Drosophila melanogaster: one gene and its partner. The protein of the gene in region 2 purifies or fractionates together with the protein of the main gene of each other region. This does not show direct contact. Each region holds a gene or a part of one and is shown on either strand. Other genes may lie near its edges.

Evidence for each region. The genes of interacting proteins can lie anywhere in the genome.
Region 1: the proteins of Rab30 (region 2) and Gdi purify together in Drosophila melanogaster (affinity purification with mass spectrometry, with the first as the bait; one large-scale study listed by BioGRID). This does not show direct contact.

What each region holds. Positions count from the first base shown.
Region 1 is NT_033779.5:9,492,913-9,496,667, forward strand, and holds the start of Gdi (GDP dissociation inhibitor), read right to left. Parts: upstream 1,965-3,755; 5' UTR 1,704-1,964; coding exon 1,310-1,703; intron 192-1,309; coding exon 1-191.
Region 2 is NT_033779.5:7,030,817-7,034,571, forward strand, and holds the start of Rab30 (Rab30), read right to left. Parts: upstream 1,791-3,755; 5' UTR 1,421-1,790; intron 1,362-1,420; 5' UTR 1,290-1,361; coding exon 618-1,289; 3' UTR 1-617. Other genes in the region: caper, read left to right, coding at 2,149-2,202.

The DNA of each region.
Region 1 (3,755 bases), 2.5 Mb from region 2:
CTCATCGTCGCGGAAAAGGGCCAGGGCGTGGCCGGTGAAGTCCTGCGTGTTCTTGTCCAGTCCGAACTTGTCGTACAGACCCTGCATGTTGGCCTTGGTGGGGTCAAAGTCCTTCCAGGTCTTGGGGTCATCTTCTCGGAAATCCTGCACGTAGATGAGGAAGTTCCGGAAGCGACGCTTCTCGAACATACCTGCAAGTAAAGTCACATTTATATATGTATATCCATAATGCCATATTGGTCAGTTTGGGGTTCAGGATCTGCATATAAAGGGAGTGCACGAGCCCGAGGGTTTCAAGTTTCCCGTTTCCATTTCATTTGCATGCCACAAACACTCACATACAGACACTCACTGGGACAACAGCACGCAACTACAGTGGGAAACCTTCAATTTAGGGGGCGGAGGACACACCACCAACAATCAGAAACCACTTGGCCACCCCATGACGTCATTCCGAGCATATGTGTAATGCGGACACAGTGAAGCATGGACAAGGTGTTTAACTTTCAATTAGCAAATTGAGACATCCAATAGGTATTGTTACAAACGGAAGTAAAATCTACCTAATAGTCACATTTTCATTGAAAATTTCTATTTTATATGCAAATTATTGATAATTAAAGACAAAAATTAAAAAATGTAGTACATCTAAAGTCATGAAATGTTTTCGTTTATAGGCAATCTCCACTGTAAAGTGAAGGGGGTTCAATGCGCCTGGCCAAAAACCTGGTTGCAAAAACTAAGTAAAAATTGAAATGGAAAAATTCAAGAGCCAATCATAAATAAATAGAGCGTGTTTTAGCTAATTGCATTGCTGCCACGAAGAAGAGGGAAAAACTTAAATTTCAAACAAAGCGAAATTCAGGTGTAAAATGGAGGCGACCAATTAGCGGCAGGTGTATGAATCAGCGCAGAGCGATTAAAATTTCGACTCCAATCGGAATAGGGCGATAATAGTTGGGCCAACAAACATGGTGTGGAAATGGATATGTGTGGGGGAAACTTTGGTAGAAATTCTTTGGCGAGCGAAGAAAACAACTGTTTTTCGGCACACACATACGTGTCACATTAAAAAAAAGGGAATAACAACAACAAGAGCTTTGCCAGCGAGTGAAAAGGCAGACAAAGAAGAGAAGAGAAAGAGAGTGGTGCGGGCGAGAGAGGGGAAGCAGATAACAGTCGAGTACGAAAATACATACATACAACCACGCACACACACAAGCACAGCTGGTAATTTGCACAATTTTTCGTGGGGGGCTCACCGCCAAGCAAAAAGGCAACGGGACTTAAAAGAGCATTATTAACGAACCCATGAGATCGGATGCCAGGGCCTCCTTTTGGTCCACCGGCACCTTGGCTATCTTGCCGCCCTTGTAAACGTAGCTGCCCTCGATGGACTTGAACTCCAGATAGCGGGTGACGCCCGTGTGGATCAGCAGCTTGACCAGCTGGCCATTGGCCATCAGGAACTTGGGGATCAGGTCCACGTTCCAGTCGCGGCCACGCCCAAATCGTTCGCCGGGCGGCTCCAGTCCGTAGCGCTGGAAGAGCTCCTCCAGCGGCGTTATCGAGGCGGACTCGCCGCCGTAGTACTTGTTTCGATCAATATGCAAAACCTTCTTGCCGGACACGGACAGCATCCCGCTGAGGATGCACTCCTTGAGGCCCGTTCCTAGCACAATCGCATCGTATTCCTCATTCATATTGGATCGCACTTATTTATATATTGCAATCACAGTAATTTATATATTTTTTTTATCCGGTTTTCGCCCTTTTCACTTGCTGCGACGTTCGATTTGGTGGACTTTTCTCTGCGCTCAATAATTTTTCTCTACTCGTTCGCCTTTCGCTCGTCCGCTTTGCGCTGCCCGTTTGCCGTCACGCCGTTTGCTGGTCACGTTACGTTACGTTTTCGTACATGCCCAGGGCTGCATGAGAAAGAGTTGCTATCGGCTGCTAATTGTACATGGAAATAAGGAAATAACCAAACAAGCATATAAGATATTTAATTTGCACACAGAGCATTAATGTACGAAAGATTTAGAGACGTGTGTGCAAGATTTTTGAATTGATTATGATTTTGCAAAAGTTTATTTCCTAGATTATTGACATTTCAGGGCTGCATGTCGCGCGCGCAAATTTATAGTTGCAATTTAAATTTGTTAAATGCATGTGTTGGTCTTGCATAAAGCAAGACATTATAAAATAACAAAACGGAGGATTCACAGATCGATCATATAAAATATAAAAAGATATTCAGCAATTATTGTAAACAGTATTTGAACGCTGTTTACCTATCGAGTTTTAAGTTACTGGAGATCTCTATTTATATCATATCTCACGCATTCGTTCATTACTTTTTATTTTAAAGAGAATACAATATAAGCAATTAGACTTTTCAATGTATGTAATAATTTCAAGAAAACCAACATTTGCGTACATTTATTATCGGAGACACGATAGACATTTATTCCGAAACTAGGGGCATTCTTCTTACAGCTGTTAGCACAGTTAGCGAGTCTGGCCACATCATCCCGAAGCCTCTGCAAAGTTTTACTGGTGATTTTGGTTGAAACGACGAGCCGATTCGGACGCGATTTTTGTATCGGGTTTATTTAGGTTGTTACGTTCTCTTCGCGTCGTTTCTTGTTTCTTTGTTTCGTCGGATTTTCGCGCGTGCAGCGAGCAAGGAAAACTAATCATACATAATCATACATTTTCGTGGAGCAAAAACACACGGCAATGTAAATGTTTGATTATATTTTCATTTAAAACGGAGCCAAACAACTGTGTACTTGTGTGAGTGTGTGTGCGTGCGGTGGCTGCGTGCTTGTGTGGAAAAGTGAAAATGCTATTTGGGCCATAATTGTATTGAAATTCTTAGCAACAACAACAAACCAAACCTCGAGTTCGTGGCAAAAAATAAGTTCGAAAAAAAAGACGAAAACCCCAACAAAAGGAAGTGAAAAAGTGAGCGGCTCAGGGATTTTTTATGCTGTGCTCCAAGTGAAATAAAGTCTTTGGGAAATAATTATTTATTGTAATTCCTTCGCTGAGGAAACATACAAAATAGAAAACAAAAAGATAATCTCCTGTCCCGCTCACACTTTCCGCCTGACCTCGGTTATCATATGTTACCTCCCTGTTGTTCTTGTTGTTGCTTTGAATGTGCTGCAACATTTTTGTATTGTTGCCATGCTGAAAAGTTGTTTTCATCCCCGTGTAAAAATAGTTTCAAACAAAAAATATAAAACAAAACCCCCACGAAGGCAAGGATAAAATAACCGCAGGCAATTGAATTGATCGAAAAACAAGCATAAATCCACGTCTACGATTTTATTGGGTAAGTTTTTCGTTTAAATCAAGTTGCCATATTAAAAATTGCACAGGCATAAAGTCGGAGGGAAAAAACATAATAAAGCACAGACGGCGGCAATCTACAGAAAAAACAAGTTGGTTGCCAAGAACCAGTTAGGCGTTGCAGACCAACTGCCCCGCCCACCGCCCTCGGCCCCCATCCTCCCAAAATATACGACGGGTTTTTTACCTGCTCGCATCCATCTCGCTCACTCATTCACACAGCCTCCGATCGTTCTGGCTTCTCCATCCTCTTTCCCCTTCTATCTCTCTCTCTCTTTGTCTTACCGGCATTTGATAAAAGGCAAATAGATTCAAACAGTCGCGGTTTTAACTTTGCTTTTTGTTTTTCTGCGGCTTTGGATTCGTTTGCACTGTAATGCAGTAAAGATGCTTGG
Region 2 (3,755 bases):
CGATCCATAATCAGATCAATACATACGTCTATATAATACAAATCAAGAAAATCAGGCGGTCTTAAACACCTCCAATGGAGTTCTTGTAACACAAATATTTAGCATCCTTAGTCATTGACAGCTAGTTTCCCATAGGATCTTAATCGTGATAAATAGTAAATTAGTTTTTACAATCAATTTCTTTCTGTAAACCAAAGGGGATACAGAAATAATCAATTTTTTTAGTCTTGTAATTAAAATAATAAACCCTTAAGCATGAACAGAATATCACGATAACAGATAACAGATTAGCTGCACAGTTTCCAGATCCGTTTGCACATTGTACTTTAAATGTTTGTTGTTATCGTAGTTTAGTGAAAGCGAAGAGAATTGCTCTAAATACCTTTACATTTAAAGGTATTTGAAGCCGATGTGTTTTAACAATCTAATAGGAATCGTTACAAAGACAAAGGCAAACGATCACGTCATAATCATGCTTATAAAAACAAAATTTAACATATGTATGTATGTGTTAGAATGTGGGAGCATTGTGGTAATAAAAGATAAATGGAATATCACGATTAGTCCTTAACAAGTTACAGATTAGCTGCTCAGCTTCCAGTTCAGTTTGCAGCTGCTCAGCCGCCTTGACTAGAGTTGGAGCCGCCGCTGGCGAGTCCGCCACAGCAATTGCTCTGCGCTGCCTTGGCACTGAAGCTCCCCAGTCCGATGGAGCTGCCCTCCGACTGACGCTGGGCGGCTGCCGCTGCGGCCGAACTACTGCCATCCTTGCTCCTTGCCTGACCAATCAATTCGGCGGCAATCTCGTAGAACAGACGCTCTACATTCTCTGCCTCCTTGGCGGATGTCTCCAAGAAGTACATGTCATGCTGCTTGGCGAACTCTTCGCCAATCTGGGTGGGTATCTCTCGATCATCCCTGTCCGTCTTGTTACCCACCAGGATTTTGAGTACCTTGGAGTTGGCATACTCCTGGATCTCGCGCAGCCAGTCCGGCAGGCAGTCAAATGTGGGCTGGCAGCTGATGTCGTACACCAGGATCAAGGCGTGAGCCGATCGATAGTAGCTTTGCGTGATGGATCGGAACCGCTCCTGGCCGGCGGTGTCCCAGATTTGTAGCTTGATCTTCTCGCCCTCCACCTCCACGGTCTTAATCATGAAATCCACACCAATGGTGGCACCCTGGCCAGGTGGAAATAGACCCTGAGTAAAGCGGCGCACTAGGCATGTTTTTCCAACACCAGCATTGCCCACCAGGACGATTTTGAACAGGAACTTGTAGTCCTCCATTGGGGATGTTGCCAAAAATGGGTTGGTTTTGGGGTTTTTGAGTCGCTGGGTGTGGGCAAGTGTGTGTGTGCTCTGCGAAAGTAGACGAAAGTTAGTCGGAGCTTAGACACACCTAGTCAGCGACGCGTAACGATTATACTTTGCTGGCTGGTGGTGGTTCGTTGGATCAGCTTACGCCATCCCCAGCGAAGACAACGCCTCTCACCTGTGGCTCACCTGGGGCTCTATCACTAGCTGGCCAACGGCTGTTCGCCTTGTTTTTTGGCTTATTTGGCTAAAAGATGATGACTCAACAGCAGCTGTAGATGCTTGTTACTCGCTTATCTATGCGAATCGGCCCCAAATCTATTCAGCAGGCTTTCGGCCAGGTTGACTATGCTTGCAAATTTGTAATCAACTGGTTGCATGCTGCCGCATTAATTGCCAGCCTTAATTTTGCTTATGTTTACCAACAGAATTTTACTGTATTTCGACGTGATGGTATTTGATTAGAGATGTGACATCAATTCCCATAGCAATACTTAACGATGTTTTTCTCGGTATCGATAGATCGACGTTTTGCAAAGCACTTAAAAACTTTTTGAAGTACGGTCACTAGTTATCGATTGTTCATCATCGATAAGTTCTGTGACAACCCTGAAGCCGAAAACAAGCAGCCACGCTAGAGAAGAAAATCTGGTTGAAAATTGGCAAAAATTCTAATTAAAAAATCGCAAAAGCCAAAAGAGAAGTTCGTAAGTCGTCCTACGAATTCCGCTGTGCGTCCCCACCACATTTTGATTTCTCCAAACGTGCCAGACACCGAGCAGGGGACTTTTTTCACGGAGCACCCCGAATTGCAGCGAAGTAATTTTCGAATATGGCCGAGGACTTTGATGTGGAGGCGATGCTCGAGGCGCCGTACATGAAAAACGTAAGTTCCCAAAGGCCGGATAACAGCCAACTATCGTTTAAATTAAGTCCCACTGGCTTTTGTGCCCACCCAAGGCAATTATTTTGCTGTGCAAAAACAAAATGAAAAAAAATAGAAAAACAGTTACTTCATATGTATGTTTGTATACTTCTTTTCCCACATAGACACCCACAGGCGTACGTGCATTTTGTGTTTGTATGTAAGTCGTCTTCGTCTCGGGCACACACACACACACACACACATGTGCAGTCGATGCATACTAAGTGGTCTTAAATCGATTTTTAGCCTAATTTTGCTGTTTAATAAAAAATCGGCAGCCGGAACGCCAATCTGCGTGCTGATTTTCGTAATATTTTTTTTTCACACTAGACTGCGTTCATACAGAAAAGTGTTTCGCCAACGGAAAATCTGTCTGTGTGTGGGTTTGTGTTGTTTATTTTCCTACGCGGCATTTGATACAGTCGTGTACTGCAGTGGGTGTACAGTGGGGTGCAAAATATTTGGCAGGGCTGCAATAGCAACTGAAAACGTTTAACAAGTATCAGGGAAACTTAAAGGATTGAATTACTAACAAGACAGTCATGATTCTGTAAACTATAAAAAACAACGTATTTTAGTGATATTTTATATCTCTTACTAAACTTGGACTTTAATCTGTATTATTGACTGAAACGGATTTTGTAGCAATTGGTATTCCTCTTATCTTATCTGGGCAAACCATCTGTAATAATATTTATTAATAGGTTAAAACTCAGCCATATGAAATCATACTTGAAAAATCTCAATATATTATAAAATAATTTGTAGGTTAGCAAACCACATTTTTCCGTAGCATTTACAAATGCAATTTTCGGTGTGTTGTGGAATAAATCTAATAAAATTATCATTAATTAACCCAAAACCAAAATCAGCATTATTGTCCGACAGCTCGCCAAGGTTTTAGTCAATGTAGTAGTCTATGACATCCAGCTAAAGTTGGAAATTAATTGAATTGAATTCTTTCGCCCCAAACCAACAACTCATGAGTTCAACGCTCCTATTTCTTCCTATCTGCTGTCTCACTAAGAACTACCGACAACTACCCACACACAATCACCATTAAAAAATACAAAAAAAAAAAAAAAAAAAAAAACCAAACAAAAATGCTAGAATAATTCTTAAGGGTGAAATGTCTTTGCAGAGAATCGAATAAGCTCAATATTGTTGCTAGAGATTGTTTTGGTCATTCTAAACACAAAAAGCTGGAGACCATTTGGTAAGTTTTGAATGTGCCAGAAGCTGCGAAAAAAAACCAATTACAAAATTACAAAACAATAAAAAAAAAAAACCAAAACATATCTAGGCATTTTGTATAAAATATGATTTGTTTATGTTTGCGTTTTTTTTTTATGAACACAATCCAATTGAAATCGTTACCTTACTGCTCTATGTAAACCAATGAAACTGAACGTGCACTAAATTTCAGATATACTCCTCCTAACTTGTCTGGGGCAGCAGGCAGCACTACTACTACTCTCACTCACAGTCAGACAAGAATGAAAGTATCGCTCAAA